Lepisosteus oculatus: one gene and its partner. The protein of the gene in region 1 interacts with the protein of each later gene in a biochemical or structural test. Links are inferred from orthologs where the notes say so. Each region holds a gene or a part of one and is shown on either strand. Other genes may lie near its edges.

Evidence for each region.
Region 2: the proteins of copb1 (region 1) and arcn1a form a complex in vitro, tested with the Homo sapiens proteins (2 studies listed by BioGRID). The link is inferred for Lepisosteus oculatus from reciprocal best matches to the Homo sapiens genes COPB1 and ARCN1.

What each region holds. Positions count from the first base shown.
Region 1 is NC_090716.1:10,266,225-10,275,441, forward strand, and holds the start of copb1 (coatomer subunit beta), read right to left. Parts: upstream 3,947-9,217; 5' UTR 3,849-3,946; intron 2,492-3,848; 5' UTR 2,430-2,491; coding exon 2,339-2,429; intron 2,081-2,338; coding exon 1,851-2,080; intron 614-1,850; coding exon 444-613; intron 256-443; coding exon 141-255; intron 1-140. Other genes in the region: psma1 (proteasome subunit alpha type-1), read right to left, coding at 7,531-7,590, 8,063-8,167, 8,586-8,665, 8,758-8,887. UniProt on the Homo sapiens protein: The coatomer is a cytosolic protein complex that binds to dilysine motifs and reversibly associates with Golgi non-clathrin-coated vesicles, which further mediate biosynthetic protein transport from the ER, via the Golgi up to the trans Golgi network.
Region 2 is NC_090718.1:11,590,769-11,600,448, reverse strand, and holds the start of arcn1a (archain 1a), read right to left. Parts: upstream 3,853-9,680; 5' UTR 3,681-3,852; coding exon 3,678-3,680; intron 1-3,677. Other genes in the region: hmbsa (hydroxymethylbilane synthase a), read left to right, coding at 9,375-9,404. UniProt on the Homo sapiens protein: Component of the coatomer, a cytosolic protein complex that binds to dilysine motifs and reversibly associates with Golgi non-clathrin-coated vesicles, which further mediate biosynthetic protein transport from the ER, via the Golgi up to the trans Golgi network.

The DNA of each region.
Region 1 (9,217 bases):
AGTACTTCTTCACTATTCTGCATTATTCACGGTCTTTTCACATTCATATCAAAATTTTAAAAATGAAGGGGTTAGCAGAGGAACAGAATATTAAAAACTGTAGTTTTACACGACTTACATAATAAAACATGGAACTGTACCTGGTCAGCATGAATCAGCATCATGAAAGCATTTCTCTTGCAGCTAGCATCCTTCTCATTTACCAGAAAATCATGGATCAGCTCAGGCGCATCAGGAATTAAATTCTCAAAATTCCTATAGGAATAGAAAGTTAACATTAATGGCACCCTTTTCATTAAAAGTTATTCAGAAGTTCCATTTCATTAAGGAACAAAGACCCAGCTACCTGTTTTCTTTTACAACATCGGCTTCTAAAAATCTGTCCTTATACACTGTGTATTGTGCATAAAGAGGTGTAGTCCCTTCATTGCTCCCAAACTCACCTATAAATGGTGTAAATGGCCAAGACAGCATTTCGCCGCACATAGCTGTGTCGGTGCTCCAGGCAGGCACGGATCGCTGGCATCAAGGGCTCCAGCAGCTCAGACTCTTTCAGCTTGCACAGGAACCGCAAGGTGGAACCCCGAATGAATTCATTAGGATGCTGTAGGTCCTGTTAATGCAACAGAAATGAATAACCACAAACTATCCTCACCCCAGCAGACACAAGGGCAGATCAGTGACTCCAAAGCCGAAGGCAATTTAGGCCAGGTCGCAATGCTGAAGTGGGTGACTGAGTTAAACCTGCATTCAGGCTTAAGCAACAACAGATTTCTGGCGATTATTAAACAGTACAGTTTAGGTCAACAATTGCCTCCTATTTTGCTTCATGATCAGGTGTTTTTCCCCCATCAAAGTGGCAAGAAGCACACTGTGAGAATAGTTTTCTGTGGCAAATATGGAGTCACGAGAAACGGGTGGCTGGATCAGATTTCATTCCTCCTGCATGGTCCTGGTGATAATTTCTTAAGTGCAAAGCTGTAAAAGAAGAAGCGTTCAAACAAGCTTTGAGCTCAACAGCCATGACAGCTTTTAAATCCTTATTCTATTATTTTACCCACTCTTCATCATAATGTCTTTTGCTTAGAAGTGAAAAGAAAAATCCAATTCAAATATAAGAGGTGCACTGAAAATTCCTATTGATGATTATAGAAGTGGGTCTCGATCAAAACAAACACTGTTCCCCATTTTCCAATTCCTACAACTTTCATGGCTTTTGGAAAATACCTAAGAGTATTAATATTGGGGAAACGCTCTTGGCTCTCTTGGCTGTTCAAGTATTTCTGACTTTTTTTACGAGAAAGATAAGTGGTAAGTGCTCACTCACCAACACTTGAAAAGTGGAGAGAAAAAGCCACAGCTGTGCAACGTGAAGAAGCACTCTTGTTGTTTATAGAAGCGAGACCTTAACACGGCCAGCAATATGATTATAAATATGAAACATATGAAAACTGCAGATGTTAAAATCTTGCAGTAAACCCACAAAACCAAGTGAAGTACATCTAATGTATATTTGACGTCTTATTCTTAGAGTCAAAGCAAGCACATGACCTGGCAAAAACTAACCAACACAGTACAGAACACAGAACAGAAAAATGGCACATGAGGGCAGGAAACAAGTGCCCTTAACCAGACTAAAAGAAAAATATCAAAATGTTCTGAGTTTTTAAGACTTGGTGCAATGGAAATGTATTCTCCTCTGCCCATCTTTGTAGGGAAGATCAGGACAGGAGACATGAAAAAATCTTTTCACAACATACGTGACCGGTCTTCCAAAGCAAACACTTTCAGACAACACTGTCAAAAGGCACAAATTCAGAACATGACACACTAGTGAGCCGGACAAGTACCTTTCTGTAGGCATCACAGACCAAGATCATCTCTTGCAACAGCTTCCCATCTGGAGTGGTCTTGGGAACAATCTCCCAGAAGACAAGGAGCAGCTTTTTAATGGTGTGATCTTGAAGAGGCAGTACAAAGCGAATGATGGTCATCAGCAGGCCAGGCAGCTTCTCCCCATTGAGAATCATGATGATCACCTTCTTCAAGGCCTCCGTTTTGGCCTTGATATCCCCCTTTTCTAAAAGTGAACAGCACCACAAGACTGAAAATGAACACGTGCATAATCACATTCACACAAAGATCACTCAATCCTATCCCCTTTAGAAAACAGGAAAACTACCCCCCAAAAATGCTTTAATCGTGAGTGGCAAAACATCAAAGAAAGAAACACTTTTATTTTTTTAACCATGTGTTAACCATTCAACAAACCTGGTGTAAATCTACAGCAAGTTCTTCCTTCTAGCTTCCCTTGCAGTTGTTTGCATTTAACACTCACCGAGGTCTGTTTTCAAACTTAGTTCTGATGGCGGTTCCGAGTCCATCGGAACATTTATGAGAGTGTAACACACATTCTCCGCGGCGGTCATGATGCCGGCTGTCTAATTTTCTGAACGAAAAACACCAGGAGAAACTTGATGTTGATCAGACCCTGTAACAAAGAACAAGAACATGCATTTTTTTAAGATAAAATTGATCGCAAGTGACTGCTGTGCAAAACGCGAGTAACTTTGCCATATTATACATTATTTATCGACGTGAAATGGCATTAAAATCAACAAAGCAGCTGTCACAAATGACCAAATCATTTAGAATTGGGCTGTCCAATCCTGGTCCTAGAGGATTTAATTTCAATGTAGCTCTTAATGTCCTGTCAGATCATCACTGGGCTAATTGGACCAATTTATTACGTTATCTTAGATCTTCAGGTGCTGCTGCTTTAAAGAGACCTAGAACACCTGCAGACACCCTGACCTCTTCCCTGTACAGCACCAAGAATATCCTGCTCCACGCTGGCACGTCAAATCCGTGCTGTTCATAGAGACATAATTACACTTACTGCTCACAGGACGTTCGCATTTAAATACACATGTATAAGTGGCCTCCGTAAATTAGAACACCTGTAAACACCACTTCTATTATTTTATTTTACGTTTTGCAACCTGATGACAAAAACATAATTCAAGTAAAACTTACAGCATAACGTTCATATATTAATAAGAAACTTGCTGGGAACCAACAGTAACTTATCATGAAGCACTATTTTATCATCTTTTAGGTTCTTCTCCGTAATGAGAATAAATACAATTAACACCACCATATAAAGGGCAGGTGAAAACAACATTTAAGAACAAATACTAAGTAATAAGGCAAAAATGAAACTATATCCTTTTAAGATATTACAATAAACGTAAACATTTTGTATTAGGGCCATAACTTGTCTACCCAAGTCTGACGTTACACAACGATATTTTAACGATTGTTCCCTTGGTGTAAACTACAATACAATAAAAGCATGTGGAAAGCCACTAATTTATTGACCATATCAGTTGACTATTCTGTGCAGGTGTGATCACATAATTTTATAGTAAACTGCACCGAGCTCGTTCTTCTGCACAATCAAGAGGTTTGGCCTAAAAGATAGGCCTCAGGAAGTGACCGGCTCAACTACACAAAATCCCACAAGCTACATCAGAAATCGGTATTGTGGAGGCAAAACCACCACAGTAGCAAGTTTGTGCATAACGTTCAAATCAACAGCCATAACCGATTTATCATGGGTCATCCAACTCCGGCTTGACAAATGTCTTCCTTGTTAATGCTCTCTGTAGTGGTGCCTTGCTGGAACTTCAGCTAAAATAACCTGCGAGATGTGGAGCTTCAATTTACAAAAAGGAAGAACCTTTTGAAAATTACAATGCAATTGTAAATATTTCTTATAGAAGAAACTTCCGTAAAATGATACAAAACCGCATAAATCTACACAATTAAAATGAAAGTTTCTTTACCTTTTTATTCACTGTGTTAACCTCTCCCCAGCTGCACTACGCTACAACATCCAAGTGACGTGGAACTAGGAGGTCTGAGCCACATCAATACTACAGGAAGCTAAGAGGGACAAACTTGCTTAAACTAAGGCGAGAGGGAACAGAAACTCGTTTCTGCCTGCATGCGTACAAATGTGAACTTTTAACGTCACCAACATTTAGTGTATAGATAGAAACAGAGTATAGGTAAATCAGTTTTTCAATTTTATTTTATTGATTCGATCATATCTATAAATAAGAAATGCTTAAATAGATTAGTAGTTAAATCCTACTAATCTATTTAAACATTTCTTGTTTATAGATATGACCGAATCATTAAAATACATTGAAAAAACGATTTGATCGATGTTAATTCAGATTATAATTTTTACGATGAAGTTTAAATGTTCTTTGCAAATCGCCTATTAAAATATGTTCAAAAACAGAAAAAATAAACACCAGTGCAACACTATATATGTTCCTTAATAAAAATAAAACTTTGTTTCAATAATGATAATTTTTTCTAATTTTAAATATTTTTGTAAATATCCACTCGTTGCTTCATTATCACAAACACCTCCCCCTATTAGAACTCAAAAGTGCATTTCATTCTGTTTTAGGGATTTATGTCATGATCAGAACTGTCTGTCAAATGGGTTTAAATGGGAGGATTCAATGTCCACAATTGTCCACCAAGCCTCTGGCCAGTGACATAGGTTAACCAAGAACCTCCACATAACCCAGGTCATTCTACATAAGTGCAGGCATTTATCATTGTGGTCATGTCTACCTTTTCCTGATACCCCACAACCATCTCTCTCCCTTTGTCAGTAATGTCCCCTGAGGGTGTGACCAGATCATAGATTGTCTGTACTTTATTAGCATAAAACAGACTTTTTTTTCCTACGTCAACAGCATTAGTATTGGTATCATTATTTTTATCTGGCTTTTCTGAGAAGAGCAAAAGAAACGTTACAAAAGAGGAAGAGGATGCTATTTGGTTTGTCTAGATTGTGGTTGCTTAACTTAGCAACCTGAGCTAAGAGGATTTCATCCAGCCATTTGTTGAAAGTTTAGTTCAGCTCCAACAACACCTAGTCCAAATCCCAACAACCCTAATGTGAAAAAAAACCCCAACATAACACATTCTCAATCTCATGTTTGTGTTTCATGTTCATATTTGTTTACTGATTCTGAAAAAGTCTATTGGTTTGATTTTATGATTTGATATGTTTTAATATTTGAATCAATTCCCATTATACTCTTCAATACAAGACTATGAAGATTCAGTTTCTTTCTTCTCTGGACTGATGCTATTCTAACATAATGTTTTCATTTTAACATAGTGATAAAGGTTGTGTACAGTATTCTCATAACAGTCTTCTAGTTGAAGGAGCCTATTGATCACAATTTTACATTTATTTATACTGAGCATCAAAACATATCACTCCATTTGAGCATGTATTTTTTTAAAAATAGAATGTGTTTCCACTGATTAAAGCCTGGTGAAATTCAAGTAAATAACAATTATGCCCCATATACAGTATCGAGGGTAAGACTCCATTAAACTAGCCGTTATAACTACTGTTTATTTGAATGTTCAGTATATACAGTATATACTAACATTCTGTTTACTAACTATACCATTGATATAAATTAGGAAGAGTAGTGGTCCTAATACAGATCTCTGTGGTACTCCATTAAGTACATCACCAGAACATTCACCCTTCCTCTGTTCTCTTCATTTCTATAAATGAACTAGTTCTACAGTATATCATATCATATGCTTTGTGTTGTACCCTGTGTTGCTAATGCTTGTTCATATGTATTCTTAAATCAATCAGCACAGAAGCCATGGACATTCTGCTATCCTTGTTATCCCTTAACAGAACAAGATCCCAGGCACTATTGCTGGCTTACATTTAGCTGATTGTTATGTGAGCCAAGGAATATTATTTTTGTTGTAAGTAAATATTTACTGAAGCCCAACAGGGACTATGATTTCACAATAAACATGCCAATGAAGATATATCTTTTAATGATCTGAAATTCATCTGCGTCAGTTTCCTTAACTTTCCACGCATCATGCTCAAATGTGAATGAAAAAGAATAGCGTGCATGATCAGTAAGGAGTGAGGGACAGAGACAATGACAGGAGTAACAACAGAACTCATCTCATTGGAATGATGAGAGAACATTTCTACAATATTCTATATACCTAAAAAAATGCTGACCTCACCAGAAGTTGTTGTGACCTGGGGATAATGACTAACGGGGAGAACACCTTACTGCTTCTTCTGTAACATGACCTCTTCTTGCGGTGCCAGCCCTTTTTGTGAAACTAGAAAATAAACTATCTGCAGGTTTGAGGTCACCCCTGGGATATACTATTACACCTCTTCCTTCAGCGGTGTCCTTCATACTGCAGGAACCTTGACTCAAATCAATATCAAAGGTCTGCTTCGCCTGACACAGGACATTGTTGCACAGCATTTGATGACCCCGTCTGGAAAAATTATAGCAGAAAATACACCTGGTATTTCATAATCCGGTCACATTTTCAATATTTCAGGGTTTTTTTTTTTACTTCCAATGGGTACCGTTTTATCACCATGAAAACTAAAATATGCTCATTTCTTTCCTAATACAACAAACTTTATAACAATTAAACATAGAACTTAAAAGGGTGTTAAAATACCTGCAGATAACCTTTCTATCCACAAGAAATCCTCTATCTAAACAAAACTAACAATTCAATGGGGTGACTTAAACAGCACCATCACCTTTATCCATATTGAACTGAAAGTGGGATTATTAGTAGTATTTCAAGAGGTGTGCGTACAATAATCAATTAACATCATGTTATGTATGTCTAGCAAGCCCATTTTTTTCAGAGAACGTTAGAAGATGCCAAGAGAGCATATTGCTACCTGATATTTTGACTTAAGCAGACAGAAAAAATGACACAATAAAATTGGCAAATAAGCGTACCTTGGACACCACCTCTGAAAACAACATATAACTGAAACTCGGGCCTGGTTCATGATTAATTGGTACCAAATGATTACCCTTTACTTATACATAAAGGAAATTCAGCACCCATCTTACACTGTACCAGCTGATTTAACTCACTATGAAAAACAAACTTAACTATGAAAACAAACATGCAGTCCTGGAACTTCGGGTTCACCTTCAAGACCCTCTATTTTTTAATGGAGCGCAAACCTTTTCTATCTCACAGGATCCTTACATTTAGCAAGTGTGTTTTCTGAAGAGTGCTTTAGACTGCAACCTTATAAAGTACATGGTTAACAAGGTACTACAAATTCTTTTTTATTTTTTATTGGAAGCAGTTGTTACTTAACATTTCTGTTGTTTTGTTTTTTAAAAAAGCTACGACCTGAAACACATAGGGAAAACAAGATTTTATTCTGAAACTTCAATCTGAGGTTGGTTCATATAGAAAAGCATAATATAACTAGTCTTTGTAGAAAACAAAAAAGCTAATATTGTGGTAGGTGGCTTTCTAAGATCTTCTTAGGCCAAAATGGGCTCCATGTTGACATTTACTTTGTGAATGCATGGTCATAGACTGACAGCAGGTATGTTACAGATTGTGAACTTTTTAATCAGCAGTGTAAATCTTTGGCAGCCAGGACCAACATCAGTGCTCCATGGGCTCATCAGCTTTTCCTCCTGCTGGCTCTTCAGGCGGCTGTGCAACCTAGAAATCAAAACAGGAGCAGGCTTCAGTAAAGAAATCCCAACTTTAATAAAGAAACATCATTATTTTTTCTAAAACAAAAATCTTGCCTTAAGTATACAGTTAAATATACTGAGCATGAAAAATTACTGTGAAAAATTCAACAGAAGGATATGTAAAGCAAGCGAAGGCCTTACAGTATAATTTGCTGCATTGTTGTATAAATCCTATACATTTTGGAAAGTGTAATAATTCTTCTTATTCACCTTGAGGGAAACAATCACCCTAATTGTCCCTTAATTCTCTTTTAATTTATATAAATAAAAAGAAAGCTACTCATTTTATAAAAATATATTATATAACTTGGCAAAAAAAACCTTAGCCAATTGTATACTGAATACATATGGAGCAGAACATTGTGCTTATGGAAAGCACAGGAGACATTTTCAGCAAGAGGAAGTTGTGAAAGAACTGTACGGTTAAATATATCTACCTTTCTCTGGGGTCTCTCTTCAAGGCCTTCGAGGAACGGTGCAACTTCGTCATCATCATAGATAGTAAACTCCAGGTCTTTGCCAACAATTCCAATGGAGACATTCTGTGAAGGCCAAGAATGTTACCCTTTAAAGTATTTTTCTGAATATTAAATATGTCATAATAAATAGTAAAGTTAATCATTACTGAATATTAAATCAAACACTAAATACATTCAATGTCCCCCATATTTAAGCTTAAATACATTTTTAAATTTTTACAATTCAAAACAACATTAATAATCACTTTCATAGCCTGTTTTTGGATTCGTGTATCAAATCAATTAAGCATGAAAATGTGAAACAAATGGAGCTAAGCAGTGCACAGTCATACAGAATATAAATCTCTGTCAGTGTAAAATCATTACATACCACATTACATCTAAACATCTTTCATATTTACTGCTTGCTTGTCAATGATGAAATTGTTATAAGACAAATCACCGGGTTTTCTTTGCATCAGACGCTGCACGAATTACTTACCTTTGTAGTAAGGTCCTGCTCAGCAGGGAGGGTTTCTCTTAAAGCACGGAGACCATGCTGGACAAGTTCGTTCAAATTGCCTTGAGAAAAAAAGACAAAGTTTAACACCCTCATGAACCATGATGGATAGTGAGATACTGGAAATACTGGATACTTTCTATTTTGTACTCACAGTCAATAAATTTCTCCATGTTTCTTTCCAGGTAAGTGCGAGCAGACTGGGAACGGGCTCCAATGGACATGGCTTTACAGTCAAAGTAATTTGCCGATGGACATGTCTGGAAGATGTGAGGCCCCATATCCTAAAACAAAAGTAAAACTCATTCCAGGGGTATAGAGAAACCATCTCCTCGCAGTTTCAATCTATAACTGCCTATCTGGGTTTTCTCAACCTAAGGATACAAGCCGATACAAGCAAAGGTCCTGACAGTTCAAAACCCACTACTGTAATAATTTTAAGATCTGTGTTCTCCTTTATCCTTAAGGTGAAACCTGCTCCTCATGCTTCCCCCAATTGCCATAGATTCACCTCAGTCAAAACTCACCACTTGACATCTGCCGCCTTCAAAGACTGAGAACATCAAGAACCAGCGTGTGTGTGTTGGCTGGATGGTAAGTGGTGGGAGTCCTAT
Region 2 (9,680 bases), on another chromosome or scaffold:
GGGGACCTCTCGCACGTTCAGTCTCACAAGCCCGACGGGTTTTGTTCACTCTGGGGACGGGAGAAAGGTTTTTTTGCACTCTTGTGCAATTAAACTTTAGGATAGATTTTCCTCCCCCTAAACTTACAAGCCATATTAAAAATACTGACAAGACAGGTAATTAAATCGTGTACTCATGAAACGTTTTCCCCATTTAGATGGCTAAGACGAGAAGGGTGACTCCTACAAAGATGGAAAGCTGCTCTTCCGTTATCAAACACAAAAACACCGCGTTAACCTGGAATGGCAGGGAGAGGATTTCGGATTCTTTTCTTTCTTCCCCTCATTTTGGTTTACTCTGTGTGCTTCTCTCCGCCTTGCCAAGCAGGAGTCTTCCAAGGGACCGATGAGCACTCAGGAATACACGCACAGACGCTTGGCAAAAGGTTCTGAAGGTTCTTGGCCCGTTTTCTGCGTCCTCAATTCTTCTCCCGTTCCGAAGGTCCAGAATAAACCGTAGCGCGGGCCGTTCATTTCAGAAAACACGTGGCAATTTTTGCTACCATACTGCTGTGAAGTAATAAAATCCAAATTCGCCATGGAAACGGACAAAGACTTTATTTTAATTTTAAATGCTGTTTTTTTTTTACTTTGTATCCTGAAAAATGTTAAGAAATGCAGGGCGACGGTGCTGTTTACAGAGGAAGGCAGCAGACCTTTAAAAGAACATATCTTGGAAAGACAGAACCAGCTCCGCACCGCGGAGGATTCTAATCACAGCTTTCATACAACAAGGCCGGGGCCTGTGTTGAACAAAGCAAACAAAAAAAATAAATAGCTTTCATTTCTTGTACATCTCTTTCGTGGTTTAATAATTCGAAAACCAATTTCGGAGGACTGAAATAATCTAATTTAAGAAGGCAGCAAAGGGACCTTACATTTACCCAAGGTCTCATAACCACACATTTAAAAGGAATACACCTTTCACAGCTCAGATGATTCGAACACCAAGACACCTGAAATGATCCAATTTAAATCATGCCCAAAGTGCACAAAGGATGAACACTGCCAAACGTTCCCAGGTGCTACCAATATACTTGTCTGCTGTAACCAGAAGGAAGATGGGACACTTTCTCATGCTTCTAAGAACTGGGGGTCAGACTGAAGCCAACGGCAGCACAGTGGTCACAATGGTCTTCTGGCACGTGGCAAACTGACAGCCACCTTCAAGCACTGGATTCATCCCGATCGTCCTCAGGCTTAACTTGCACAGAAAGAACCTATAGGCATTTGTTGTTGTCTTTAACCCAAAATCCATAAGGTAAACAGCATTTCTGCACGGCAACGTCACTTTCCAGTTACGTGTTCACCATGGTGTTCAAGGAGCAAAATGCAGAATTAGATAAGTAGAATAAACCTGCATCGGAGAAAATAATCAGAGTACTTTCCCCTTTTTGTACTGGAAGCTGAGCAAACACATGGGGAAGGATGGTGAAATTTTACACCAATCCAACAGCTGAATCAGATGAGCTGTTTCTGAAACAGCATCCTGATTAGCACGTAATACTTAAAAGTGATGATGCATTTTTTGTGGAAAAGGCCTGCTCCTTCCTACATCCTGCCCTTTAAAAAGTACACAACACACACACACAAATAGCAACCTCAAGACTCCAAAACATATTGTTGCTTATTTGAAAGTAGTCCTATGACTGGCCCTGCGGATGTGTTTCTTAAAACTGTCAGATGAATACATTTTGGGAGTTTGTGTGCAGGTTTCACCAACCTGAACTTTAAAAAGAAAAGGAAATGCAATCCTGGAGAGATCTGTTGCTGAAATCAATACCAGCAGACAGGATTATTCCTTGAGAAGCAATTAATTATACTTCCTTTGAAGCACTTAATTATCACCAATAACATTTGACCTGAGACCTGATTTTAACCATCACACATAGAAAGAATCAGGGAGAAAGTTTGCTACACAGATCATAATATTTTGAAAAGACCTTAAATATAGTCAGATTGTAGCACCGCTAGATCTATAAATGACCAACAAATAGTTGGGCTTTTCTGGTAAACGTAAACATCTGTGAGGTCTAGTCTACCGTGACTACACCTATAACCTAGACATGTAAACTGTTTTATATTGGGGAACAGACAGAGTCACTGAAAAACACCTAAAGGACCTGCGAAGTAGACTGTGATGGATGCAGTTCATACACGCAACAGTGTAGATTTCACCGCCTTGTGACCTGGTCAGTAAAACAGGTGTTCCGGTTTTATAAACCGTTTCAATCTGTACTGTGATTTCCAAAATATGAGATGGAACAGAAAAGCAGTACATCAGCCTACGGACTCTGCTAGTTTTTGTTTCACCCGCTCTCTTAAATTCCTGGTGCTAACTGATGCCTTGAATTGATCAGCGTCCTTGGTTTCAGACATACCATTGCATTTCATGTTTTTTTGACCACTTCAACATGCAGAACTTTAAGCAGTTTTTCTCGGGCTCCCTTAATTCTGGCTAAAGGGCTTGTGGGTGATTGTCAAACTCCATAGAGTGTCTCCTGCCTCTCCCCTCCAGTGGCTTAATTGTAAACAAATTCAGCTAACACCTGAATCAGGGGAGTTGTGAATCTCGAAAATTAGTACGCGGCCGACACTAATTAGTTTTGTGAACCCAAAGCATTTTATAGAACGCCTCAAAGCCAACTGAAAACACTTAGCCTGCGATTAAATACTCGGCTATAAAAATCAGAAGGCGACACTATCGCCATCAATACCAGCTTAAGAAGCACTCCGATAAGCGATCTTGCGCGTAATCACCTGGTCTTAGACCAACAGCTATCTGTGCGATTCCTTTTCTGGAATACAACGAGATCGTGTACTGGTGTCCAAGTCCCCAACTGGGCAGTAGTATTTATTTCAAGACCCGAGCTGATGAAGTTGTTCATTCAAGTACGTATCGCCTTCGGACGTCGGTGCTACTCCAACGCTGTAGGTACGAGGTCCGTCGCTTGTTTTTATAATGCTGTATTCAGATTTTTAAAGTAACTTGTTTGACAGGTTTCGTTATTTTGTAACGACGGTTCTTTAGTGTTCAGTATGTCGGTAAATAAAAATGCTGCAAGCTTGCATTTTCCTAAAGCAATCGGCTAGCTTGATCATGGCGAGGTCTACGAAAAGGCACACTATAATTGATTGTTAGTGTTTACCATATTGCATGGCTGTATGAGACACCCAAGCTGAAATTCTTCCCGATCTCCACTAAACGTGCCAGCCACGTCACTCGAGCCGTGTTTTACGCTACAAGGACAGAGTTATTCCATTCACCTAGTTAAGGTCTCTTTTTATACCATGACTTGGATGGGAGGAAAAATGGGTATTTTACCCGAGCCAGCAGCTACTGTATTCACTGCCAAGTGCATTATTTCCAGCGGGGCCTACGACAGCAGCGGTTTGATCGCTATAAACCTCTATCCGCTAATGATACTGTCTGCGCGAAGTCCGACAACTCTTTATAAAAATAAAACTACCTCTTAACAGCTTGCGAATCGGACCGTTAACGGTCCTTGTCTCAATCAAGACTTTATATTTCCTTTCCGACTCTCGTCCACTGACCAAGCCGGAACAAGGACTGGTCTCGATCATCTTTCGGTTAAAACGCACTGTTCGGTAACCGACTAGAAGACTTCAAGGCTTACCATTTTCGCTCCTTGTGCTTGCAAAAGATATTACGTTCCTAATGATAGGGGGATCCTCCCAATTTCCAGACGCTTTCTCTGCAAAATATTCAAGAGTCGATCCGCTGCTTTCCACTGGCGTCTCCCAGCCTACGGCTCCAATATGGCAGCACAGAGCCACGTCTCCAACCGGAAGCAGCTTGTCACGGGGTCAAAGTGCACGGCGTTAGGTAGCATTCGAACATGTGGAAGATTCAACATCAGCATCAGTAGCGTAGCTTAATTGCTAATTAAACATATCTTTCCCGTTAGCGTTTGTAAGCCCTGCGGGGTGGGTTCAACCCTTTTTTTTTTCAGAAATCCCTAGCTTTAAGAAACCGCCAACACCCACAACTTAAACACCAGCCTAACCTAGTAATACTACTTGCTACGAAATTTTAAAGCACATCTCCGCAAAGCCGCATATGCGATGATTCTGGACGGATTTTTAAACACGGCTTGGAATCAAAGCATTTAATGCAACCCCTCTATGTTACTAAAGCTGGTTCCCTGCATGCTTTGGAAAAAGTTTACATGATCCGAGCAGCTGTAAGGACCGATTTGTAAATGGCACTGTATTCCCGATCCAGGAATAACTGGATCAATGTTTAGTAACCCCTTGTGCTGGCAAGGAGGGACGTCGAATATTTTCTTCTTTTGGACAACTTGTGTATCGGGTATAATTATATGAATTACTCTTCTTATGCTGCGCGAGTGACCTTGCTTCCACCACTCTGAATGACTTTTTAAAAATCCTGCCGATAGAGGGCAGTGCCGATGTTTGTAATCGGGCACACGGTGAATCAAAATGTGCCAGAATCACGTTTGATTTAAGATCTTATGATTCATCCCTGATTAAAATTCCCATTTAAGCCACATGCATCTTGTGAAACCTCGCGAACAGCAGTAAGAGCACGTCTGTATTGATTTCAGTCTTTCTTTTTGCCAGCCATTGCGAGGGTCTTCACCGATGTCCTCTCTTCTAATGTCAAAAACCATCTTACCAAGACCACAAAATGCCAGACAAGCGGAAACTTCCAAGCACCTTCCTTTGGAGAGCCACCGATGCATCTGTTCTTAACTGTTGGTTTAAAGGCATGATAGTTACGTAGGTGAAGTCGAGGGGGAAAAGTAAGCACCGTCAAGTTGAAAACCGAGCTAATATCCTTAAAGGCCTGCCGTAAACCTATAAAGGTGCGATCAGATCTAATTGACGAATGTTAAAATTTAAAGACTGGACTTGAGGTGCGGGCTTTAAATTTGACAATGTAAACAACAAGCCCCTTTTATTCATGCCGTAGAACAAAGACTAAATTGTTGACATTTTTATTTCTGTTGCACATGCGTCGAGTCGTATAGTTTGCGTCTCTAAATCTAACCTTTCCAACGGTGAAAGACTTCATAACAACCGAGATAGTGAGTATAATTATGAGCTCACACTGCGTTGCTAACTGCAAGGTTCTTGAGGAATAAACCGAGTATCTGGTTGCACCAAGCTGTGACCATGACGCTGCTCTGCGTTTCTGTTGCAGCTTCGCCGGATGGGCGCCGTATACAGTTCGGATAGCCTGAAGAGCACCATGCAGACCAGTGCCATTACAGACAAACCGTTGAGGACCCTTCACTTCGGAACTGGTACAACGTCTCTGTAGGCATTTCCCCCAAACTTATAGGTGGCCAGACATGGTCCAGAACGAACGGTTTCTACTTATCTGATTTATGATACAGACAGTGAGCACATCCTTTGGTGAGCTACATGGGTCTATCAGTGCTTGTGACTGACAAAATGGCTGCATTGTAGACAGGCCATATCACTGTAGCTCCCAAACTGTGTCTCCAGCTTGCTTTGATCAGTGGTCAGTCTTTATACCTTGCCTGTTTTTTTTTTTTATTTCCTCCTTTGGAGCAGACGGGTTAGTTTTAATATATGGGTAGACGTGAATCCCACACGTCTAATACCAGGAAAATGTGTATGAATTTAAAACGGAAGTAGCTCAACCAGTTTCTAAGAAAAACATAAATAAATTGGGTTCTCCTTTTCAAGGCTGAAGTCCTTATTAGAAGACAACTTTGTAACTATAGCAACTGGCTGTTCTGAGTTCCTAGTATAGATTCTCTAGCCAAATAAATTCTCATTATACATCATATACATAAAAAAAATAAAAGACAATTCCCAAACCAAGCAAACACCTTTTATTACAGAAACGCAAAACACTAACGATCTGTACGAAAAAGGGTGGGGTGGGGAACTTTAACTGTTTTATAATTAAACACGAGTTACACCACTTGAGAGCCAGATTGCAGATGGAAATGCTGGTCAGTATTGAACTGCAATGAATACCTCACCAGCACAAGACCTGCCCAGCAACTGAGCTGAGACTGGGGACTGGTCAGCAGAAGAACACTGAGGGCTTGGAGCTGCATAACTGAAGAAAGATGAACAGCATGTCGAATTTCTACAAATCATTCTCCTTAGGCCTGTGTACAAATAAAGTTAAATCGCCACTTTAGTTTTAAAAGTAAAATAAAGACAATTGATAGGCAAGTGTGTGTCTTAATATTTAATAGAACACATTTATTAGTCATATCCAGTTTATCTGAATGATAATGTACATTTATGTACAGACACTGGCAGTTAATATCTTGACAAATTTCAGATGACTTGTCATCTATGACTAATACCGAACACGGCTGATTTTCTTCCCCTAGTCTCAAAGCAGAATCCTATGTGCTGTACTTTAAGTTGCCTTTCCAGGTTTAAATGATAGTACACTTTTATATAGCTCCTTTGAAATTGGCTTCTCAAAGTGCTTTACAGTGGGGGGAGGGGGGCAGCACAATGAGAGGAGACAGCAGCATTATAACGTCAAATAAAACAATTGATATTTTAGCTTTATCTGCGCGGAAAATAAATAGTAATACCAAAACAAAACTGAAACCGAACAATTTAGTAAAATTCCAGATAAACGGAAACTGGACCCGCTGCCATCTTGCCGGCCGCAGCGCACCTGACGCGCAGAGGGGCGGGGCCTGTCTGCTCACCGTCATTCTGGAGGCGGGCTCGCTGACCTGATTGACAGCTGATTTAAAATGCCTTGAAATGGGACGTTACATTGTGCAATACAATAACACTCCAAATCGTGTTAATCCAGGCACATCCCAATGCGTTTGTCCTCTTTTGGGTCTGTAGCAGAAATAAAAAAAGGGTGTTTGACAAATTCAAAAACTTAAAAGTTGAATGCTGCAGTGGAATTCCAACATTGTTATCCTAACGCTTCATCATTTAAGTGAAATATTGTACTAAACATGATGGTGGGGAACGATACTCTCAGTCTCACGGTAGACAAATGTCAGATTTTCTCTAACCTTTTTAAAGACGGAAAACAGCACCTAGCACAGACATCGCAGACTGTACGGCACGGTTTGCAGGAGTACCTGCTATTCGCAGAAGAGTATATTTAAAATAAAGTGACTGAAGACTGAACCATGAAGAACTTAGCTGCGTATAATCTTAATGCCCCACGGGCGCGTGAAGTAACCGCTTTTCCAAAATGTACAGTAGTGTTTCCTAAAAACCCACAAAAGCCGGTGATAATAAATTCTTCACTCTAGAGGAACAACACAAAAATTTAAAGGAATATAATAATTAATAATTGCTTACACTTATATAGCGCTTTTCAGGTAATGGGGATCCCCTCCACCACCACCAATGTGTAATATTTAATGTGTTACTTTTAGAAGTAACTCAAGCGAAATCGCTAACCTATTATAATGACCAAATCCGTCTCTATAATTGAATAATGAAAAAGCTATAAAAACGACAGTATATTATTGGTGGTGGTGAAGGGGAGTCCCCATTACCTGTTAAGCGCTTTGAGTGGAGTGTCCAGAAAAGCGCTATATAAGTGTAAGCAATTATTATTATTATTATAATATTGGAATTATTCCTAATATTTTGTCCTCACTTTCATTGGGCGCAACACGCATGCGTGACCTTCCCCCCCGGAAATGACATTCTTTGGAGGACACGGGAAGGAGGACGGAATATTTTTCATTTAGCGCTTCGCTCTTGTCCTCTCTGACAGCTTGGCGCGTTGTAGCCGGGATTGCTGCAGTTTCCTGTTCAGCGCGTACAGAGCGGGACAACCTTCACGGCACAGCCGATCTCCTCTCTCTCCCACGCTGACGGTGTCGAAGGGACAGGGATGTCACGCGAGCCCGGCGCCCAGGTGGGTTTACGGTAGACACGCGGAAACCTGAAGTTCCTGGAGCTGAATTCGGAGAGCTGCGATTGGCTGTTGTAAATGTCAATCTGTGTGTCTGAGCGCTGCCATTGGTTAAAACCGAGAAAACCTGTATGTTGGTAGGCGGCTGAAATGAACAAGAACTTTCAAAGTGGGGGGAATACAATAATAAATTCTTAAGAAGACAGAGGACCTGTTCATAACACTGTAAAAGTTCAATTAGAGATGACTCAGTTGAATGATTGTTATGAGTGTAAAGTATGGAGTATGCACCATTTGGTTTATGGTGCTGATAACTGGGCTTTATATCTGTAGGTAAAAGAAAGAAATAAACCGAAAACGTCTAATAAATCATGCGATCACATTAATTTCATCACATTACATTACATTACATCACATTTAGTGATGTAAAACTGTGAATAAATTGCGCTGAAATTAAATGTGTATATTTCGTAACCATATGTGCCGAAAGTAAATCTGCAGTCTTTTACGTAAATGGCACGTCCTAATACGGATTGAGAGGATTACTTGGAAGTCATGAGAACACACATGTGGTTCCAAGGAAGCATACGTGACATTTTTAAACCCATTCTTGACAGCAGTCAGACCAGCTCCTGGCATAGAGAGAGAACACGTAGAACACAACGCTTAGAAAGGAGCACATCTCCTATACCTAAAGACTAGAATCCAGAAGGTTTTTTTAGGGCTCGTTAAATCGTCGACAGCTGAAGATCTTTGAAAAATGTTCAGTTGGTCCAATTTACTTAATGAGAAGATTAACAAAGCCATAGAGAGCAGGAATGTAAAAAAAACGTCATATTGAATGAAGCAGAACTCTGTTTCGCTTTCATGAACCAATTCACCTCCATATTGTGCAATGTTATGTCTCTCTTGGATCTCATATCTCTACTGCATTTTCTTCGGGTTAATCTTAAACACTTGTCAGAACAGTCAAGATCACCACTGAGCGGATATGCAAAGTATTTTAGGTGCCATGCAAATGTAGTGCATCCGAGCAGCATTTCACAGCTGTGGTGCTGAACACTTGTACCGCAGTGCTGGAGAGACCTTGATCTGGTAGAGAGAACGTGAGGGCAGTTTGGAAAACACAAGGGTAGTGTGTAATGGGCTTGTATTTTTTAAGTTATTCACCTCTCTATGAATCCCCCCCCCCCAAGTCTTTTTGCTACAATGTACTGATCTGTAGAAGGTCCAGGTGCTCCTCCCTACCCTCTCCAACGGCTGCCATGAATCGACAGTACTGTCTTATCAGCAGCAGCCAGGGGTGGGCGGTGAAGAACCCACAGGCACACAGGGCTAGACACTGTTCTCTCCAGTCAGCTTCCCTCTTTTCAGCACTGCTCTCTGCTAGAGACGGGGGAAATTGTCGTTCCTTCATTCCTGTTAATAAAACGGCGATTTGCTCTCGGGAACAATGGAGAACGGGGTTCCTAAATCCACAAGGGTAAGTAAAATAAGCTGCGATGAGAGGGTCTCTCGATGTTAAGGAATGTGAGGCAGAGTACTTACTGCAAGAGCTGCTTGTTCATTGCTGCAGTAAACGGGATCCATCTCTTTAGTGGGTTGGATATATTAGCAGGCTTCTTAAATGTGGATTGAGGTTGAAAATGCTTCTGTTTTACCAGTGCGTTTGAATTATCGGTGCCCCCCCACATGTTTTAATTCATCGCGAGGGAAGGGTTGTGTTCTGTCAGTGGCACTGCATTCGCCATGTGAGTTC